Lepisosteus oculatus: one gene and its partners. The protein of the gene in region 2 purifies or fractionates together with the protein of the main gene of each other region. This does not show direct contact. Links are inferred from orthologs where the notes say so. Each region holds a gene or a part of one and is shown on either strand. Other genes may lie near its edges.

Region 1 (7,158 bases), on a different chromosome or scaffold from region 2:
ATGTTCACTACTTCTTAATGAAAGGGACACCAACCATGTCCTACCCAAAAAAAAATATTAAGACCTGGCCAGACCAAAGGATAGTGTGGTAACTTAGTGAATCACAAAACAGCAAATGCTGCACATTAACTTTGCAATGAAAAGCCTAAATGCCTTCAATACCTTCTGCCTTGAACATTTGCTCATTTTTGGTCCTGTTAGAGCAAACCTGGACAAGACTTTCCAGTAATGCTAATGGGAAAAGAGTAGCTGATTAACTGCACAACACATTTTCCATGCAAACCAAATACATCTTAATTTTAATTAAACTGGGTGCTTTCCAACTGAATGCTCATAAATAGTCTACTGCAGTCCCAGAACTACAGGGGGCCTGGAGCGAACACTGTCCTTATATAGAGCTTTTTGTTCATCCCATGTTCCATTTCCTTCTCCAGATATGTACTGTAGTAAGCCACCCCTGTCCTCTTCCTAGCATCATGGTACTTGCAATATTACGGACTTTGTTGTCCCACATGGGAAATTTGCATTGCAGGCAAATACAAGACATAACACAATACAGGAACAGGTAAAGGTTTATTCCATGCTGAAATGAAAAGAGACACAATGTTTAGGCTGTCCAAAACTTTGCATCTCCTGTCTTTTGACCATGGAATAAATGTTTACCCATTCCATTGCAGCCAACACATGCTGAAGCAGCTACCTACTCGAACTTTATAACACTACAACACAATACATTTAACACTTCTTAACTCATTTACAAATAAGAAACATACATGCATAAAGTGAAAGGAAAACAAGCTTGCAGCTTGTAATTGTGAAAATGTAATTTTCACAATTTAGGAAAATAAACCTTGTCATCAGTGGCTGAGACAGATACATAAGACATACAGTATGCATGACAATAAAACATAAAATAGTAAAATATCACGAGTTGTTCAGATTCAAGCAGGTTGCTAGCCGAAGGAATAAAGAATAACTATTTGCACTAAAATTAGGCAGTCTAAATCAACACCCTGATGGAAAGAGCTCAAATACACTGTGTAAGGGGTGGTCATGACAGCCATCGATCATGTTGGCCTTCCACACTGTTTGATGTCAATGTCTCCCAGCTGTACCTGTTGTGCACCCAAGACTTCGCTGGCTACCTTCACTGTCCTGCTCAGTCTTATTGCGTGTGTTAAGGTCACCAAACCAGGCTACCAAGTGAATGTCAGAACAGAGTCAATAAAACTTCCATAGAATAAAGACTGCTTAATTGTACTACACACACTTAAACAGCAGAGCTTTCTCTGTAATAATCAGAATTTCCTCAGAAAAGAGCATCCGTAATTTCCTGAACTTTAAGCTTATAATCAACGATAGTGCAAAATATAACTGACAACGATGTCAATTTCTTGTTCCTCAATGACTATTGGTTTTGCAATGGGTAGTTGCTTCCTATAATTAACGACTAAAACGATAAGTTAAAGAAAGATGTGTTGTTACATTTTTCCGACAAAATAACCCACTACAGGCTCATGATCAATGTCTACATCTTAGAGACCGACAAGAACAGAGTCATCAGCAAACTTAAAGCCGTGTCTGTTCTCAAAAGGTATTCGTCAGTCTGTCTAAAGAACGTACAGGATGAGGGCTAGCAGATTTGATATAAATTACTTTGTATGAAGAATTTAAATTCTTATATTAGACGACTGTACACCGCTAAATCTCTCTTTTAGTTGCCTTCTCCCGATTTCTAGAACCACAGAGTAGCAATTATTTTGCAATTGCTTACATTGCACGCGAAACGTTTTCAAGAGATTTCAGATGCTTGGTAACACATTCCTTAGAGATCTCAGGTAAGTTAAGCAATTGAGACAATAGCTGAAGGTTCGCATGATTCATAGAACAGTTCAAAGGAGGGGTAAACCAAGCAAGAGATTACTGAGTGGAGATAGCGATACTGAGATAACTCCGAAAGAAAGCTCGAACCATGCAGCTTTAACAAGCCGGTTTTATTGGTCTGGGATTGGATGCCAGAGTAGGTATGCAGACACACATGACTTCAGTGAAACTTTGCCAGCATCAAACATTAACTCTGTAGAGCTCGTATAGTTTTACATGTATATTCTCCACAAATCTACAGCAACCCGGTGACTAAAAATTGCTGTCATTCACCAACGCTCAAATGAACAAGTATACAACGAAGGAAAATAAAAGCGTGCTTTAACCGAATACAAAACAGGCGCTTTGCCTTTGGGAAAAGTAATTTTGCTAGAATTAAACGCTCTGTACCTCCATCCATCGCTGAGCTTCTGCAAAAGCCAAATCACAGCTGACATTGGAATTCTCTCTCCACTCCATCTCGCAGTAATCCTGGCAGCTCTGTAATCCTTTGTTCGCGGTTCCCCAAGGATATTAAGAAAACGAGGTCAAAATATTAGTTTTACAACGGCAAAATAAATCCTGCGCTTGATTGTTAATTCACGACCCCAGAACCAAAGGTAACAGCTGTCTTGTGATTATGCTAGCTGAGATAAATACTCATTGAACTGGTACTCTACCATTGTATATTTATATACGAGTCCGTAAAGTATTGGCGATGGAATCATAGTAACTTGAAAACGCTTCACCTGAAACTTACGCCCTAACCTACATGTTTCCTACATACGTCTGAGCTCTGTAGCTAAAATACTCTTAGTTCTGCACTACTTTCCAGTTAATCAAGACAGACAGAATACGTTTTACGCTCCCCACTCCCCAAAAAGCAACTTTTCAATGCACATACAGGTGTTTCCCGTTATCCCCACGTCTGCAGCTTCACAGACCGTCTTGCTCTGCTCTCTCTGCCTCCCACCTGTATCTTCTGCTCGGTAAAACTCCCCACCCTCCGTCCCCCGGTACCTGATGCCCGCAGTCTTGCATGAATTTCTCCAACAGCCGGAGAAGTCACGAAAACACTACTAACCCTGGACGAGCCTTCAGCCGCACACACTTTGCAGGTCCAGAAACCAGGTCGACTACTTGTACTGAACTTAAAAGTTTGAAAAACCCTGACGGGAGGAAGTCCCGCCCTCTAGTGATTACTTGGCGAAACACGGCTGAAGTTTCTGTAGGTGCCGCAGAGGAGACAGGGCCGGAGGAAGCGCTATCAGTGTTAGTACACATGCAAAGAAAACCAGATGCCAAACCTCTAAGATTAAAAACACCTTCAAGTTAAATTTAAAACAGCAGCACTGCATTACTCGGTTTATTCCTGGCGACATTTTCCGAACATTGCTTTTTAGTAGGGTGCAGTTAATTAAATGGTGTATTATTTTAATTATCTACTTGAACTATTATTTTAATTGTCCGTTTAATCTGCGAAAAACTCGAGCGTAAAAAGACCATTTCAAAATTAAAAAAAATAGAATGCGCTACCGTCGTGTAGACTAAATGGTCATCTCACTGAAAGTATTTTTTTCGAACTATTTCAGTCTGGATTTAGATCATTGAAAATGCTCTTTATTAAAGTTGATAATCTTCTTTTAATATCCCGGTTCTTATGCAAATGACATTCTACTTACTCCATTAAATCAAATTATAGCTGGTATGACATCTCTGGTACTGCCCTTAACGTGACCTTTAAAAGGTTTAAATTTTACCCCTTTGAGCATCGACGTTTTATTTATTTTATTTGTTTTGATGGCTTCTTTTCTCTGATAAACTTGGGTACAGTGCATCCGTGTTGTCTAATCACAGGTAATTTGACATCTGAAGGCTCTGTCATTTAACAACATAAGAGTTTGCAGACGAGTTGATCTCATCCAGTTATTTCTTTAAAACATTGGCTAGCTTGTTCCATACATGCACAACCCTTTGTGTAAAAATGCCTCCTGTTCTTGGATTTCAATGCAATTCCACTTGTGAGCTCGAGTCCACTTTTCACTGTTGATATTGAGAAAGATCACCTGGTTGACTTTGTCATTGACTGAGGATTTCACATTCCTGTATTCAATGTCATGTTGTATTCAGGTACAGTAGCTTGTAAACTAGTCTATTTTAGATTGAAAAAAGATGTGTCTCTTTTAGCTTGTTATGTAGGATTTTCGCTAAGACCCCTTAATGTGTTTGGTTGCTCTGCTCTAGACTGATTTCAGAGCAACAAAAAATGTTTGTTTTGGTAACCAATATTGTACATGATATTATAAATGTAGGCATTCTAGTGATAAGAAGTATTTTAGTTTTCATATATTCCCCCGTGTTGAAATATGGAATATTACAATTACATTTACTGTTTTTATCAGTTTTATGCAGATTATATTTTAATCTACTGTATGTCCACCCTAAACCTGACAGAGTTAGCTGATCCAGTACTCTTTGATTGCATTTCTGAGACAAAAAAGTCTTACAAAATATTTTGAAATTCTTATTATTGGTCTTCTCACAACACCTTGTCAGATGGGGGGCACTAGCCTTGGGATTGATCCTTCATGTGTCTGCAAAAAAAATGGTTCAGATTTTTGTGTTTAAAGGCTTCATTGTTGTAATCCTATGTGGCTGAGCCTCTTAAACGTCACAACTTGTTCAGAGTTAGGCAGTCACAATCCTTACTAGGCCTCACGCTAATAATCACATCACTCCTGCCTCACAGTCCTTGCACTGGCTTCCTCTTAGGTTTCAAATATGTGATATTGATCCTTTTAGGGTAATTATTTTGATTATAATAAATACAACTTGCATATCAGAACCAAAATCTGAATAATAATTTAAATGAGAAGTAAAAATTCAAAACACTAACAATCAAATAACTAATGACGTAATAAAGTACGATATATTTTCTTAAGATATTATCCAAATCATGACACAAGGCACTCTTGCCTTCTGAAAAGCATGTGAAAGGCTACGGACTGAAAAGCTGTAACTGAAGTAGGTCTGCTGGTTCATAAAACCCATGGCCTCCTGGATTCATGCATATATTATATTGTAATATAATTATAAAATAATTAACTTATAGAACACAAAGGCATCGAGCCTGTGTCCGTACATCAGAACCTTCCTGATAAAGACCCCTTTACTCTTTAATTCAGATCACAGTTCTGTGAAAATCTTAGCCCGTCTTCAACATTCCGTTAACACTGGAATGGGGAAGAAGTCTCATCCTTGGCAAGAAGATAAAACACGTAATAGGTAGACTGTTCCGAAAACATGCCTTTCATGTAGAAGAGGAACCACCCTGAGGATTTCAATGAGTAGTCAGTAACTGACACTCCCCAATTTAGTCTCCTTTTAGCTTTCTACAAGCATCTGCAAGAGCCTTCCTTTGGTTAACACAATCCCTGTAATTTCCAGAAATGGCTTTCTCTTTGCGTTTTTAGATGAAGGGTTAAATGCTTCTGCTATACAATAACCTTCTATAAAACAAAATGAATAAGAACAAAGGTTCGAAGGTAATTAAAGGAACGGCACAACGGTTGATTATTATTGAGTTTCAGCATTTGAAAAAAAGCCAGTTTCTTTACTTATGAGTGGAACAAAGAATGTCACACCCATGGAAAATGCTAAAGATTTTCAAGTATGTAGAAAAACCGGCGTGACCTAATTAAAATGTAAACAATGAGTGGAGCACATACCTGAGCACTTGAGTCCAACAGGTGTTGCCTTTCACTCCAATATACTAATACTCACAGCTGACAAAACTGTTGGAATGTTTGAAGGCACATAAAATTCAAAAGCTGATTAGTTACCTGAGAAGAAAATTGACATATATGATGCTTTGTGATATGGCCATGGACCCAATTTTGTATGCCAGGTTTTGTAATTAACTGTAATCAAATGTTTGTATATGGAGACACGGTGGCACTGGGGCCCTGGAAGACAGCATCTTGATTACTTCCAAGAGGCAAATTGTTTTCAATTCCTGACCTGGGGTTCTGTCTGTGTGAAGTCTGTATGTCCTTCCCGTGTTTGCGTGGGTTTCCTCCAGGTGTTCCAGTTTCCTTCTACAGTCGAAAAACACACTGGTCTGTTAATTGGCTTCTGGGACAATTGGCCTTAGGTGTGAGTGTGTATCTGTCTGTATTTTGTGTGCACTGGCGTCCCATCCAGGATGTACCCTGCCTGGAGCATGTTGCTTGGAGGACAGGCAATACTGAACTGGAAGAAGTGGTTAGAAAATGGATGGATGATATATTTGAAAAAACTCACTACAAGGAAATGGGATCTTTCACACAAAACCTTACCTGAAGCCAACTATAGTGTATGTTGTTGTCTTTCCTTACCTCTTTAGATGTTCAACTCTTTTTCTGAAATTGTGAAAGCCATACTTTTTCATTGGTTTCAATGGCTTATATGACTTTTGTGCCGGAACACTGAAGAAAGTTAAAATTGATCCTGTTATTACAGAGTGCCATTGTTTAAGATTCCAACCGATATATAGCGTTATTGTGTAACGAGTCCCCAGATGATCTTTAAGGTCAGACCGGAATAGATTCCTTCACCACTCCCTCAAGCAGAGCATGACTTTATTTACTATTTTTCTTAGCTCACATTTCAGTCCTTTCAAGTTGATTCCTACTTAAAATTTTCTAAAGATACTTTTTGTTGAGTTTATTATTTTCCGATCTTAATAATAAAACATTAATCACTTTTTTGTGCCTTTTAGCATTTTTTCTTCCATGGTTTTGCTGAATCTGTTTTTAACCATTAAACTGTATTTTTAAATAGAAACGACGCAATGGCTAATGACACAGTAGTGTTTATTTAGCCTGAAAAAATCAAATATATGTAGAATCACTCTAATTTTGGACCACGTTTTAACAGGTGCAAAATACCCTACTAAAGGGGGTAGATAAGAAAAGCACTGATGAGCTGTCAGCTTTTTTACTGCATTCCATTGTTAATATGTTTTACACAGATTATGCAGTTTCCTGAAATAATGCCTTGATCTTTGGTCTCAAGTAAAAGCAGAGAACTTGTTTCTTATGGGGAAAAAATACATACACACATTCTTATAAACAGCTACCTAAAAATAAGAAACCTTCTGTGATGCTTCTCTACATTATTGGGAAAACCTTGTTTAAGCTTTGCAGTTAAACAGAACTATACTTTAAATACAAGCATCACACTGATTGAATGCACTGAGTAAGTGCTATGCTGTGATAACCTTTTTATTTGGTCAGATAAGGGATTTATCCACAA
Region 2 (7,247 bases):
TCCTCAGACTGATGGGGGTTCGGTGTGCGATTCTGTGCTCAGACTGATGGGGGTTCAGTGTGCGATTCTGTCCTCAGACTGATGGGGGTTCGGTGTGCGATTCTGTCCGCAGACTGATGGGGGTTCGGTGTGCGATTCTGTCCTCAGACTGATGGGGGTTCGGTGTGCGATTCTGTCCTCAGACTGATGGGGGTTCAGTCTGTGATTCTGTCCGCAGACTGATGGGGGTTCGGTGTGCGATTCTGTCCGCAGACTGATGGGAGTTCGGTGTGCGATTCTGTCCTCAGATTGACAGGTTCGGTGTGCGATTCTGTCCTCAGACTGGAGGAGGTTCGGTGTGCGATTCTGTCCTCAGACTGATGGGGGTTCGGTGTGCAATTCTGTCCTCAGACTGACAGGTTCGGTGTGCGATTCTGTCCTCAGACTGATGGGGGTTCAGTGTGCGATTCTGTCCTCAGACTGATGGGGGTTCAGTGTGCGATTCTGTCCGCAGACTGATGGGGGTTCGGTGTGCGATTCTGTCCTCAGACTGATGGGGGTTCGGTGTGCGATTCTGTCCTCAGACTGATGGGGGTTCAGTCTGTGATTCTGTCCGCAGACTGATGGGGGTTCGGTGTGCGATTCTGTCCGCAGACTGATGGGAGTTCGGTGTGCGATTCTGTCCTCAGATTGACAGGTTCGGTGTGCGATTCTGTCCTCAGACTGGAGGAGGTTCGGTGTGCGATTCTGTCCTCAGACTGATGGGGGTTCGGTGTGCAATTCTGTCCTCAGACTGACAGGTTCGGTGTGCGATTCTGTCCTCAGACTGATGGGGGTTCAGTGTGCGATTCTGTCCTCAGACTGATGGGGGTTCAGTGTGCGATTCTGTCCGCAGACTGATGGGGGTTCGGTGTGCGATTCTGTCCTCAAACTGATGGGGGTTCGGTGTGCGATTCTGTCCGCAGACTGATGGGGGTTCCGTGTGCGATTCTGTCCTCAGACTGATGGGGGTTCGGTGTGCGATTCTGTCCGCAGACTGATGGGGGTTCGGTGTGCGATTCTGTCCTCAGACTGATGGGGGTTCAGTCTGTGATTCTGTCCTCAGACTGATGGGGGTTCGGTGTGCGATTCTGTCCTCAGACTGATGGGGGTTCGGTGTGCGATTCTGTCCTCAGACTGATGGGGGTTTGGTGTGCGATTCTGTCCTCAGACTGATGGGGGTTCGGTGTGCGATTCTGTCCTCAGACTGATGGGGGTTCGGTGTGCGATTCTGTCCACAGACTGATGGGAGTTCGGTGTGCGATTCTGTCCTCAGATTGACAGGTTCGGTGTGCGATTCTGTCCTCAGACTGGAGGAGGTTCGGTGTGCGATTCTGTCCTCAGACTGATGGGGGTTCGGTGTGCAATTCTGTCCTCAGACTGACAGGTTCGGTGTGCGATTCTGTCCTCAGACTGATGGGGGTTCGGTGTGCGATTCTGTCCGCAGACTGATGGGGGTTCGGTGTGCGATTCTGTCCTCAGACTGATGGGGGTTCGGTGTGCGATTCTGTCCTCAGACTGATATGGGTTCCATGTGCGATTCTGTCCTCAGACTGACAGGTTTGGTGTGCGATTCTGTCCTCAGACTGATGGGGGTTCGGTGTGCGATTCTGTCCTCAGACTGATGGGGGTTTGGTGTGCGATTCTGTCCTCAGACTGATGGGGGTTCGGTGTGCGATTCTGTCCTCAGACTGATGGGGGTTCGGTGTGCGATTCTGTCCACAGACTGATGGGAGTTCGGTGTGCGATTCTGTCCTCAGATTGACAGGTTCGGTGTGCGATTCTGTCCTCAGACTGGAGGAGGTTCGGTGTGCGATTCTGTCCTCAGACTGATGGGGGTTCGGTGTGCAATTCTGTCCTCAGACTGACAGGTTCGGTGTGCGATTCTGTCCTCAGACTGATGGGGGTTCAGTGTGCGATTCTGTCCTCAGACTGATGGGGGTTCGGTGTGCGATTCTGTCCGCAGACTGATGGGGGTTCGGTGTGCGATTCTGTCCTCAGACTGATGGGGGTTCGGTGTGCGATTCTGTCCGCAGACTGATGGGGGTTCGGTGTGCGATTCTGTCCTCAGACTGATGGGGGTTCGGTGTGCGATTCTGTCCTCAGACTGATGGGGGTTCCGTGTGCGATTCTGTCCTCAGACTGACAGGTTTGGTGTGCGATTCTGTCCTAAGACTGATGGGGGTTCGGTGTGCGATTCTGTCCTCAGACTGATGGGGGTTTGGTGTGCGATTCTGTCCTCAGACTGATGGGGGTTCAGTATGTGATTCTGTCCCCAGACTGACAGGTTCGGTGTACGATTCTGTCCTCTGATAGGGGTTCGGTGTGCAATTCTGTCCTCAGATTGATGGGGGTTCAGTGTGCGATTCTATCCTCAGACTGATGGGGGTTCAGCGTGCGATTCTGTCCTCAGACTGATGGGGGTTCAGTGTGCGATTCTGTCCTCAGACTGACAGGTTCAGTGTAAGATTCTGTCCTCAGACTGATGGGGGTTCGGTGTGCGATTCTGTCCTCAGACTGATGGGGGATCAGTGTGTGATTCTGTCCTCAGACTGATGGGGGTTCGGTGTGCGATTCTGTCCTCAGACTGATGGGGGTTCGGTCTGTGATTCTGTCCTCAGACTGATGGGGGTTCGGTGTGTGATTCTGTCTGCAGACTGATGGGGGTTCGGTGTGCGATTCTGTCCTCAGACTGATGGGGGTTCAGTCTGTGATTCTGTCCTCAGACTGATGGGGGTTCGGTTTGCGATTCTGTCCTCAGACTGACAGGTTTGGTGTGCGATTCTGAGACTGCCGGCCTGGGAATAAAACCAGCAGGCAAACATGAACAAGTAGACACAAGAGGAAAAACCACAGAGTGGAATTTAAAACTGAGAACAGCAGGAGGCCCTTCTCTACACAAAGAGTCGTGGGAGTCTGGAACAATTTATCCCACCCTCTTGTCAAATTTGATCATCCCAGCTCCTTAAAAGGAGCGACTGGATGAGATCCTTCGATCAACTAGCTACTAGCAACCCAACAAGCTAAATGGGCTGCATGGCCTGCTCTCATTCGTAACCTTTTTTCTGTTGTTAATAAAATGAAATCAATATTGAGCGGGCCCTCCTTCCCTGCTTGTGGCTGCTAATGTACCACGTGCTTCTCTGAGTGCTCCTGCAGCAGCTACTCCTGAGGGAGACACTGTGCCTTCCTGAATCATCCTCATAGCCTGTGGAAAACAGACACGACTGTAATTTCACATAGCACGTCATTTTTACAGGCCTGCTTACTTGTTGTTGTTCTGACTTGTCGTTCTTGTTTGCTTCATTAATGTTAACACCGGATGAATTAATTGAACAAAAGAATAAGCCTTTCTGTTGGTTGATATTTCACACTCTACATACAGGGATACAGCCTCAGCTTTTTACTGAAGCTTTTCTTCAGAACAGATCAGAAAAACTGTGGGAGACGGCTTTTAGGGTTTTTTTAGTTGTAAAAAAGATCTATTTACCTGTAATGGACAAATCTGTTTTTTTGACACATTGATTTTCATAATTTTAACACAACTATCTTGTGAACATTTGTTTTTCTTTTAAATGACGCTTCTATGTTGTGCCATATTTTTCAGTTAATTTTATTGCATTTTGTAGCATTTTTCATCCCCCTAGAATCCCAAATCGAAATTGTGTTCACGAACAGAGGACTTCCAGAAGAAGTCCGGGGACCACATAGGGATCCCCGAAACAAAGGGAGCCCCTCTAATCCCCAATCCTGTACAGTGCTGTTGTGTAAAACTAACGTCCGCAGTAGATCTGCCCTGACGACGATGACGGAGGTTCTGCTGGCCTCTGTGTTTCTTTCCAATTACAAATCGGTTTGTCACACAGTAATTACAGTTCTCGACGGAACCGCCTGTGAAAGTCCGGGACCGGTGTCGCAGTGACGGGAAGGCGCCACATTCCCAACCGACACAGCTCGGGCTCCTTCAACTGCCGGAGCCCCGCTCGCGGACTCCACGCTCTTCGCTTCAGAGCTACGCGCACACTCGCGCGGGGACTCCAATCTCCAAGTTTCTGTGGTTGCCAGGGAGCGGTTGCTATGGCTGCGAGCTGGTGCAAGAAGGGAGGGGAGAGCGAGTGAGCGAGCGAGCGCAGGAGAGAGAGAGAGGGTGGTGGACTGGGTTAGTTTCCCGGATGGAGATCCATCGCCATCTTTAGTCCAGTGCTGCCGGTGGAGTGGGGACGCGCTGCTGCTGCTGCTCCGCCAGGAACCGCCGATCGACTCACGCAGACTCGCCCGCCGCCGAGCCGCTTCTCCACAGCCAGTGCAGACACCGCCACGCCGGCTCCGAGCAGACATGGGAGACCGAGAGGACTTGGTGTACCAGGCCAAACTGGCCGAGCAGGCTGAGAGATACGACGGTAAGAGGGAGGGGAACCAGGGCGGTGTTATTTTTGGGGAAGAAATCTGTATTTTTCTCCTTCGCTGCCGAGCGCCTTCCTCGCCCTCCCTCTGGCGGAGGGGGGCTGGGGGAGAGGACAGGCGGCTGAAGATGGAGTCCGGCAGAGAGACAAAATGGCGACGGTTTCACGGGGGGCAGACGGGCTGTGCGGCGGGGAGGGAGAGCGGCGCCGGGCACACGCCCCACGGACACCCGCGGAGACACGGGTGACCGCGGGCGCCCGGCAGGGGACAGCGAGACCGTGCGGGTCCGGAGCTCTCGGCGGGGGGGAGGGGGATCGCGTCCGCTGTGTTGCAGCGAGGAATTGCATCCAATTTTTGCGAGTTTGCAAAATGGCGGCTAACAATAGTAGATAAATTAGCGGAGGGGGGCGAGTGCGGGGCGGCGGGTCCGGCGGGACTCGGGCGGGAGCCGGGGCGGGGAGACGGGGTTTTGGGCCGGGAGGCGCGGCCGGGCGCAGTCCGGGGCTTTTTTCCTCCGGGGGAGCGGCGTCGCTCGGGCGGCGGGGAGGGGGGAGGGTGTCCGGCGTGCAGTGGGGTCCGGCTGGCTTTGTCCCCGCTGGGGCCGGGCCGGGGGCGAGGCTCGGCGAGGGCAGCCGGACCGCTCCGCTCCCCGGGGGGCAGGGAGAGGGGTGGGGACACGGACCGGACCCCGTCTTCTCGGGGCTGTGGCGGCGGCCGGGGTGCTTCAAAATGGCGGCTGCAGTGAAATGGGATTTGGTCTGACACCGAGGTTTCCGAATGGAGGTGGTTTTGAATTTTGATCTTTTCAAAGAGATCGTCTTCATTTCTGTCTGGTCTTGCGCTCTCGCGTTCGTCTGCGCGTCCGGCGTGACACACGCCCAGCAGAAACGGGAGCAGACCGAGTTAGATTAAATGTTTTATAAATCCTCTCTGATATCAGAGCAGAGCTCCGCGTGTTTTGAAGTGAATGTGACCCAGACCCGTCTTATTTGATCATATTTAGTCAACCGTTTGGTTGTGTGTGGCGGGGAATCCTGCGTTAAGTAATGGCGACCCTGGATCTTCCCCTCGGCGGCGCGGCAGCTGTGGAGCACCGTGCCCTGCGTGGGGCGCCGAGGTGCCGACTGGGGTTTAGCCCGGAGCTCGGCTGTGGGTGTGGTAGGGGCAGGGGTCCACGCCGCGCTGGGCTCTTGCGCAGCCGGCTGCAGGACGGATCCCTCCGGCTGCACGGCAACATCGTCCTGCGGTTTTCACGTCCTGGGCTGGGATCGGGCTCTTTCGGAAGGGGGTTGTCCGTACTGTGTGATTTTAAACCGGAGGGAGCGGGGGGCTTAAGATGGCGGTGGTTCGCTCAACGTCGTAATTGGCTGGAAGCTGACAATAAACAGAAGAGACGCGGTGCTTGATTAATGCCCCTCCGTATCCAAAGCTGTGAGCCGTCGTGCACGGAGCCACAGGTGACCGAGAGCTGCCGAGAAGCCCGTCGGCGATATTACGGCATGTCTGCTGCATGCTGGAGTGGTGAATGGCGAAGGCTCCTCCCTGCTGTCCGCCCGCAGTTCATTCATTACAGCAGCCGCCGGCCGCAGGCGCTTTTCCTGCCTGCATCGTCGCCCACAGCGGCGCTCATGTGCCCAGTCCTGATTTTAGCTGGTTCTGGTCGTCACCCCTCTTAGGCAAACCACAACCATCATGCTGCGGTTCTTTTCTCTGTCTGTCCTCTTTGGTGCAATACTAGCATACACAAATAAACTTCGGGATCCAGTTGAAAGCTGGATGCTTTGGGGCTGCTGTGTGATCATTCGAATTCCGCTTCTGTGTGTACATGGGCAAATCTGCCCCTGTGATGACCTTACCTAAATTAACTGAGAACTGACAAGGGTTTGAAACACCCCATCTCTTCCTCTCGGTGAGCTGTGGGCTGGAGTGACAAACACGTGCGTTGGTGCAGACCTAGGTGTACAGTTACAGTTGTGCGCCTTACATCAGATCCTGTGAGGGTTTGAGCCACATGCTGCTGCTGCCCCCTGCCATTCAAACTAGGCCAGTGCTGCTGTCTGCGTTATGGAGGGCATCCACAGAGAATGAGGTCACTGTTTGAAAAGGCCATTTAAATGGGTCCACGTTTGTGGGCGGTGTAATGAAGCATGTCAGAATGGTGTGGCTTCTTTTTCCTAACTGGATAAACTGCAGGTTCTTGCAGCTCTCCTCACCTGTAAATGGGGACTTTCAGATGCAAGTGTGGAATTCCATTTCTGTAGTGCTTTTCTTCCCTGAGTATCCCAGAACACTCTGCATTTAGGGCAGGACCCTCTTCATCCATCAGTGAAGAGCAGCCCTACCTGGATGACGCACTGCTCAGGCGAGCAGGAGGGAGGAGTGAGAAACTGCTGCACCAGTTAAACTAAGGGGGGCCTTAGGGGAGGGGGGGACAGACTCTGTAAATCCAGAATGGAATTAAACTGGGTTAAAACCTCATGTGGTCTTCAATGAGCAAGTATCAGGACTTCCATTTAACACCCAGAGGACTGCAGCACTCTCTCCTAATCACCACAGTGGGCCATTGGGATGTTGGTTTGGAATTGTCTTGTAGAAAGAAGAGCACCCCCTACTGGTCCACCATAACCAGGTTTTCTGTCTGCCATACCAGTACTGACCTGGCCCAGCCTTGCTTAGCTTCTGAGGTGTGGCAAGACCACATGGTGCTAATGCTGCTGTCATTGTAACCTGTAGTGTACTTCTATTGTGTGTCCCTAAGATAATGTGAATTGTGTATGGCTTTGAATATGGAACATACGATTTTTTCACCTTGCAGTTGTGGAAGA
Region 3 (8,212 bases), on a different chromosome or scaffold from region 2:
GGACTGTCAGTGCCTTGAAATCGAGGAGATGGAGTAACAGAGAACTGTGTGCTGCACTCCTCTATGAAGAATGAATGAGAATGAAGAACAGAAATTGGAATGACTTATCATCAAGGATTGAAAAAGAAATCTCGAGATTTCAACGTTGTTTAGTCGACTGCTGTATAATAAACTATCACAAACATTTATATATTAAAAATATTACTGGACTGCATTTGAAATATTTTGACCTGTGTTCAGTGTCAGCATGAACATTGTGAATCTTTAGATAATTGATTTTATATAATACACATAGTTTATACAGTATTCAGTATTTCTGATCCATTTCAGCTATGCCCGCAGTAACCCAGTGTCTTGTGGGAAATGTAGTTTTGACATATGGGACTTCATGAAAAGGTCAGAAACAGTATTCTACTGTTTAAATTGTTCTTACACCATTTTAAAAACCCAAAATAACAATTATAAAATGGCTAAAGAACCTAAGCAATTTTAATAGCATTAATATGTATACAGCAATTAAGACAAGTATTATTTGAAGCCATTTAAGCAGATATAAACATACTGTACCAAATGGGATTTCATGATTATTAATGGTGTTCCAAAAATGTATTTGTTAATTACATATTACATAATTAATGAATAGATTAGTTTATGTATTGAAATAGTCTGACATACTCTAAAGATTATTAGAACTTTGGCACTGAATGTGAAAACTATTTTAGTTGAGAGAAATTATATAGCTCTTTAACAGTGACATAAATGTATCTTATGTGCAAGAGTCGGCTGATATTTCAGTCGAACTCAATACAATATAAGCAAGCTAAGACCTTACACTTCAAACAACATCTCCTTTCTCTGTACGTTTGTGCTTATTTCAGACATTTTACTTTGTGAGAAGCTGAAAGGATAAATAGAACTCTTTCTGATAATTTGCAGCATTTAAAATGTTTTAAGGAAAATACTCTTAATGTGAAAAGGTTAAAAATGAGTAAAACATTTTTAAAGAAGCAACAATTATTTCTGTGTCAATGTCTCATAATTCCCATTGTAAAAGTCACATTAGTTCATTGTTCAAATGTAAATGGTTTAAACTATGCAAATAATAACAGATAAAATATTAATTTTCCCACATAAATCATTAAAAAGCCGTAATATTGTCTCCAAAATTTCCTGGAGGGACTGATCAGCATGTGTTGGCGATCAGCACCGATATGAGAGCCCATTGGCAGGCAGGCTCTATTGCTGAGTGTGGCGAGTGGCCCATGACATTGCACAGTTGTACATTGGTCTGAACAGGCCGGCTCGCTTAACAAATCCGACTGCGAGGGCGGTTCGCAGTTATGCTCTCTGTACCTTGGGGGAAGACTTCTCCCTTGAAGGGGAGGAAGGTAAGGACTCCTTTTCTTGCTTGCGTAGCAGGGATCGTAGCTGATTGACTGCAAAACATAGAGAACTTTTCGTTAGCGTGATTATATTTTCATTCTGGTGCCGCCATATGCTACTTTTGTGAGAAACAGGCATTTCACATCGCGTGCATGTTGGTACCGATAATGGGCATGTATGGTAATGTATTTCCACACTTTCAAAGCATGCAAGAAAGGTTAGAGACAAGAGGGATCCAGTTGGGCAGCTCATTTGTTAGCTACAGCCAATTGCTCATTCATTTCATCAGAGAAGCCAGGTCAATAGCATTTACAACACGACTAAGTGACATCTTCCAGACCTCCACAGCCGTTCAGGTGAGGATGCGCCTCATGTTCTCAGTTCAGATTTTTTTTAAAAATCACTACTCAGAACATAAAGTCTTTCATTTCTACAGCAAACCTCTCTTTTCAAATCATGTTAAAGGCCTTGAAGTCATCACATAAGAAAAATACATTTCAGTAAGATATCAGTTTCAACATATTATCATACATTGAGACACAGGAGTTTACACACACTCCCGTTGCTCTGCTACAACACAGAGAGAGCACGGAGAACATCCATGGCCTCAAACAGCTGTGGAAACAGTGATCACGAAGCCACAGCAATGGGATCACTGGCACCAAGTTTCGCATGGGCAGTGACCGTTCTCCAGAGGCAGCCATCAAACACTCAAGGACTCTGGGATGGCAGGAATCGATGCAGAATTCACCTCTGGCCACCGAATTCCACGGCAGCCACAGAAAATTACTACCTGCATGCAGGTTTGCTGCAGCATCAGTGAAGCACCTGTAGACAAACTTGACTGGCCACATAAAATGGGCCACAGATGAGATACCATTTGTCTCATCTCATGTCCTGCTACTACACCTCCTTGTAGCTTATACTTTTCAAGGCCAGCAGCCATATCACCCTGCAACTCACAATTGGCAACCCACTGAAGCTAAGGAGGTGTGAGCCTGGTCAGTACCTGGATGGGAGACCTCCTGGGAAAAACTAAGGTTGCTGCTGGAAGAGGTGTTAGTGGGGCCAGCAGGGGGCGCTCACCCTGTGGTCCATGTGGGTCCTAATGCCCCAGTATAGTGACGGGGACACTGTAAACAAGCACTGTCTTTCGGATGAGACGTAAAACTGAGATCCTAACTCTCTGTGGTCATTAAAAATCCCAGGGTGTTTCTTGAAAAGAGTAGGGGTGTTACCCCGGTGTCCTGGTCTAATTTCCCATTGACCCTTAACAATCATGGCCTCCTAATAATCCCCATCTATGAACAGGCTTCATTACTCTGCTCTCCTCCCCACTGATAGCTGATGTGTGGTGAACGTTCTGGCACACTATCATCCAGGTGGATGCTGCACATTGGTGGTGGTGCAGTTGAGTCCCCATTACATGTAAAGCGCTTTGATTTGAGTGTCCAGAAAAGCGCTATATAAGTGTAAGCAATTATTATAATAATTATAAGATCGGTGCAGTAACTCTTAACAGCATTGTCCAATGCAATCCCTCTCTCCAAACCCTGATGGTGGCATCCTACCAGCAGCTGTTAGTGTGCTGAGCTCAAGCAACGCAACACTGAGGACAACACACTCCTGCACTGAATGAAAGCCGACAACTTTCAAGGTCTGTATCCTGCTGTAAAACACGACAGGGAACACGACTGTACCTGAACGGTTCTAGCAACACCTGCAGATAACATAATGCAATTTTCCAGGACGCCACTAACTTCTTAAGATATTGAAAACAGTTTGAAACTTGCTCTTCAAATGGGAGACTGAAAACATGAGATTTTAAAGAGCTACAAGACTGGCTTTTCATTCAGCAGGGTTCAACTAAGTATCTGAGAGCCCAGTGAAAAGCAGAAAACAGAAGGAATTGGGGTTCTTCAGGCCCGCAGCTGTGAAGTGAGGAGCTGACCTCGTGTTTTCTCAGACCTGGGGTTTGTCGGGCGTGCGCGGTGTCAGACCGGCGGGCGCGGGCCGTACCTGCGGCGCTGTGCTGCAGCTGGTGCCAGCTGTCCCGGGACCCCGCCTGCTCCGCGCCTCGTCCCGCCGGGCTCCTGGGCCCCAGCATGCTCCGCAGCTGCCGGGCGCTCCTGCTGGCTCGGTCTGTGGAGGAACAAGCCGGGTGAGTGACACCGCAGCGAGCCTGTCTGCCCCTCCCGTGAAGACCCGGGTGGGCAGGGGCCGGCATGCGAGCTCAGCGAGAAGCCCTCTCCTCCGGAGGAAACAGGAATCACAGCAGGACGGCCGCACGGTCTCAACAGCACGGTTCTAAACACTGACAGCAACACAGCAACGGCAAGAAACCTTGCACAATTAAAGACTGTGTTGAAATTGTTTTTTCCCCCCACATTGTTTATATAAAGACCTGACAGTCTCCTGCAGCCAACAGGGGTTAATATGACTATTTATGTCCTTACAACAGATTCATAAATAAATGACCCTATTGCATAGGTTTATATGGAAAACCGGAACATTTCTATAAAAACCTAACAGTCACCTACTGTACAATATATAACGTATTGAATTAAGGGATGCTTTCGTCCAGGGAAATACATTTTATTCTATCATTGTATTAGGATTAATGTAAAGAAGCGTACATTTCAAATTATTTAGAAAAAAAAAACATTTTGATGCTATCTATATCGAAAAAGATTTTTCATTTTTATCCAGTAAGAAAAGGCCTTGCTTGCATTTCCCCGGGGTTTGGCTGCAAAGCCTTTCCAAAGGGATACTCTTCCACTCCTTGAGGAAGGAGCGTGTTCCTGACAGCCCAATCGATCCGCTGTATAGGTGCATGTCTACACCGCGAACCCATAAATATTTATATCTGCTGAGTCGCATTGATCTGCCGAAGAGCACGTAAATTATAGAAAGCAGAGACTATAATTGAAGAATATTTAATAAAGTGTAATAAAGTATTTTATCGCTGCATTAAATCAAAAAAACTCAACTACACCATACGTTTATCGTATCACTGTATTACGTTACCATACAAAGTAGCAAAGAGGCTAAGCGATATAATTGTAAAAAAGTGTAGATGTTGCCGGTAAACGTCAACTGGTATGCAAGCCGTGTAACTGTATTTTCAGTTTACAGACACCATTATAAGCATCCCTGTACATCTGGTCATTAGAATCGAGCTGTTCCTCTCCTGGTCACCTCTCAGAGCCTGTTGGTATTGCTCCAGCTCCCCGTCATCCTCGGACTCCACAGTGGGCTTCATGGATTATACAGACCGGCTGGGGGGCACGAAATTCAAGGGCAGACTTCACACCCGCACTCGCGTTCCCGAGCAGAAGCTCTATTTTATTTACCCCAAATTTTTAACCGAAGAGCCTCAAGCACAGCCAATCGGTGACGCGCCTGCCACTTCCTCAAACTGGTCCCAGGTTTCCTTGGGAATGGTAGTGCTCTTCGGGCGTCAGCCTAACGTCCTCAGGCGGAGAATAGGAAACGCAGAAACTACAACTCCCAGAGTTCCGCCGCGCGTTGCCAGGGAGGCCGCCGCCATGCTGCCCCTAGCTACTGAGCATTCCGTCGGCTTGCCAAAAAGGCGACCCCTCCTCTGCCTTGCTCTTTTCACGATTTCCATAGGTCCCGGCTCACGTCAATCCCCCGGAGTCCTGCCTACTCCTCCGCTCTCAGCGGCGCTGATTGGCCAGAAGCACCCTCAGGTTGCGACGTCCGTCCCCGTTCGTGCCAGCGATTGGTCCGTGCGGACGCCCGTCGGCGTGGAGGCCGCGCCCAGAGGGTCGGGCTGGAGCTGCAGGCGCCTGCGGGCTCCGGCGCCGTTATGCGAGGAGCGGCAGCGTTATTGCTGAGCAACCGAGACAAATAGGCGAGCAGCCACATACAGGGGCTGGGCTAGTCTCTGTGTGAGCGCATTGTGTATATACGGCTATAGTGGAGTGGACACACGTATACACTCACAACAGTCCAGAAAAGGGTAAGTAGGAGACTTGGCTTCTTATTTCTTGTAAGGATGCGTCGTTAGTTTAACGCTGGTCGGGTTGGCGAGAACAGGGCTAATAATAAAGCACAATGCACTTGAATACTGAAACGCTTTTCTCCGTCTCCATGTCTGTGGAGCTCGCAGCGGTACAGTCTGGCCGGGACCCCCCGGCAAGCGGCTCTGCCACACGGGCGGGGGGACCGGGGAGTCTTCTGTCTGCTCGGGGCCGTCCGGTTAGTCCGGTTCTTTCCAGAAACGCGTCCCCGGTGCAGGGGGTGTTCCTGCGCGGCGGTGACACCTCGGCTCTGCTGGGTGAGGGTGAGGGGGGGCGCGGTTAGCCGTCCTCGTGAAGGCGATGGAAGAGAGGCAGGGGCGGATAGGGGTCCCCCCCCCCCCCTCCCCTCCTCCATGTGCGAGAACCCCCCGGTCTGTCGGGGTGCGGGGAGCTCGGGCGAGGGGGCGCTGGGAGGATGTTGCCGGGGTGCACGGCCGCACGAGGCTGCGGGATGAAGGAATGAGCCATTTCCTGCCTGCTCCCAGACGGGCTGAGTCCTGAAGATGTCGGGGGGGCCGGGAGCGCAGAAAATGGATCCATCTCTTTCAAACGTGCAGCAAAACAGTGGAGAATGTAACGGGAACAGAGACTGGGTCCCGCCAATCCGCTGTCAGTTTTTGTCCTGACTGCCCCCCCCCGCACACACACACCCCACTCCCAACATCTGTGGCGCGGATGGCTGCAGACCGACGTTGTTTTTTTTTTTAATTGTTTGCCGACGTTTCATCTGGTTGGCACAGTACATAATATTTCCGAGGCAGTGAAACGGCGGTTTTGAGGGAGTGACCCTTTTTCGGGGAACCCCCCCTCCCCCGCGCACCCCCGAATAAACGGGCTTTTCCAGGGGACCGTTACTCCAGTCCCGACCCGGTTGGGCGTTCACAGATTTGGTCTGTGCTCTGGGTGTGAACGAACATGCCCTGTGTATAATGTGCATGGGCGCTGTTGGTTTTGCGGGGTAGCGGGGTACCCCGGTTTCTGTTAGTGTGGCACCAGCAGGCCCGGCTCTGTGCCGGATGGACGGCGTGGCTCTGCTGTGTGGTGCGGGGCCGCCGAGAGTCCCTCACCCCCACGGAGCTGACACTGGGGTATCGGCTGTCAGAGGTGCGATATCAGCCGATGTCGGAGAGATCCCCTTGCGTTTATCGCTGAAGTGACAGTGGAGTAATCACAGCCAGTGTGTGTGGAAGTCCTGGGTTTGTGCCAGTGCACGTCACAGCCCGCCTCTTCCTCCTCCTCCTCAGTATTTATTTAAGAGAGACGGGATCCGTTACCAGCCCTGGGCCTATCAGATGGAGGACATCCTCCATATCCTGACTGGGAGCTCTCTGTCAGGCCAGGAGACACGCAGCGCCGCTTCAGAAGGTGTTAACTACAAGCTGCACAAACTCAAATGTTTTTAATAATGACATTGTTGTGGCGGAGAGTTGGTTTCTGAGTGCAGACATCCCTGTTCTACACTGATTAACGTCCTTGGGTTATAGCCACAAAAGTCTTTTTTTTTCCATGGCATGTGTATCTCCAGGACAGGACAGAGCTGTGTGTGATGTTCAGAAAAGATTTCTTTTTTTTTTTTTGATGTTTCTCATAAGCATTGCTCGTCTGACAGATCGATTATGTCCATCTGCTAAACAACTTGGCCGTGTGGCCAAGGTTTTTGTTTTATTCCAGTTTTAAACGTATCTCCGGTCGCTCTCCCCTTGCCAGGGAGGTGAGGGTGAACCTGAACACTGGTAAAGGTGTGGTGTGTTGCCACTGGTGTGCAGGCGGAAGCTGGCCTGGGTGTATTTTGAGTGCTGTGGAGCTGCAGAAAACATGGGGCTGCTGAGGTGAAAATGCTCCTCCTGGGCTGTCAAATGGTCTCGCAGCTCTGCCGTATCCTCTTAGATGGAGTCGTCTTCCAGCCTGGTGGTTTTGCAGTGACAGAGGAGGCAAAAAGACCATCTGAACACGAGAGGTTTTTTTTCTTGCCGTGAGAGGTTCTGTGGGTCTCGCTCGGCGTGGCAGCGAGAGGCCAGGAAGAGACCAGCGCCGGCCTCCCTGCTGGACGTCCCGTTTGAAGGAAGCGCAGACCTGGGCTAATGGAGCCGGAATGAGGAGAGCTGACTCCAGCTCTTCCTGCTCGGTCAGTCCAATCCATCATCCTCACAGCTGCTCGATTCGGGATTCTATCGCAGAGGTGAACCGAGCCTTCTCTGCGACTGCAGTCACTCAGTGTGACTCTCAGGTAGCCGCAGTGTGTGAAAGCTGTGAAACGGAGCCGTGCAGTGTGCTGCACAAACTGTCCCTCGCCCATGGGCTCGTTGTGTTCTTGCCAACCTCTCCTGCTCTGGCCGCGCGGCCGTGCTCTGCTCTTTCACGGGTGAGACCCGCGCAGCCTGGGGCGCTGGAGCTGGGCAGCAGCGGGCCGGCGAGCCCCGTCTCAAGCGGCAGGAAGTGGGCGGAGATAAGACGGGCTCCTCGGGTCTGGCGCCCTCACATCAACACCGTTTAAAAAGGAAACCTTGAGGCGAAAATAAGACCTCAGAGGAATCCCGATTACACACAGAAATATCTCTGATCAGCCCAACACTTGAAGATTCTTAATAAGTAAGCTGCTGTATGTAATCCTGTGGGTCTCTGTAACTGACTGGAAGGAAACGGACTGTAACATTACATGATCATCCAAATGTATGTATTACATAGTATATAACATAGTGTATACTGGTTGTGCAGTAACTCTTTGCAAGGTGTATTGAATTTTGGGCATCTCTGTTTTGTCTGATTGTTTCATCTTTGGCCCT

The links. Proteins that work in one complex are often made in the same cells at the same time.
Region 1: the proteins of ywhae1 (region 2) and lmo7a purify together in Homo sapiens (affinity purification with mass spectrometry; 3 studies listed by BioGRID and IntAct, with this or other methods). This does not show direct contact. The link is inferred for Lepisosteus oculatus from reciprocal best matches to the Homo sapiens genes YWHAE and LMO7.
Region 3: the proteins of ywhae1 (region 2) and cep170aa purify together in Homo sapiens (affinity purification with mass spectrometry; 3 studies listed by BioGRID and IntAct, with this or other methods). This does not show direct contact. The link is inferred for Lepisosteus oculatus from reciprocal best matches to the Homo sapiens genes YWHAE and CEP170.

Annotation. Positions count from the first base shown.
Region 1 is NC_090710.1:33,933,769-33,940,926, reverse strand, and holds the start of lmo7a (LIM domain only protein 7), read right to left. Parts: upstream 3,050-7,158; 5' UTR 2,948-3,049; exon of another isoform or gene 2,905-2,947; coding exon of another isoform or gene 2,884-2,904; intron 2,789-2,883; exon of another isoform or gene 2,768-2,788; intron 2,373-2,767; coding exon of another isoform or gene 2,344-2,372; coding exon 2,275-2,343; intron 1-2,274.
Region 2 is NC_090721.1:11,109,511-11,116,757, forward strand, and holds the start of ywhae1 (tyrosine 3-monooxygenase/tryptophan 5-monooxygenase activation protein, epsilon polypeptide 1), read left to right. Parts: upstream 1-4,159; 5' UTR 4,160-4,354; coding exon 4,355-4,418; intron 4,419-5,135; exon of another isoform or gene 5,136-5,168; coding exon of another isoform or gene 5,169-5,205; intron 5,206-7,247. UniProt on the Homo sapiens protein: Adapter protein implicated in the regulation of a large spectrum of both general and specialized signaling pathways. Binds to a large number of partners, usually by recognition of a phosphoserine or phosphothreonine motif.
Region 3 is NC_090712.1:1,042,312-1,050,523, reverse strand, and holds the start of cep170aa (centrosomal protein of 170 kDa), read left to right. Parts: upstream 1-5,163; 5' UTR 5,164-5,368; intron 5,369-8,212. Other genes in the region: sdccag8 (serologically defined colon cancer antigen 8 homolog), read right to left, coding at 1,354-1,436, 3,403-3,525, 4,582-4,645.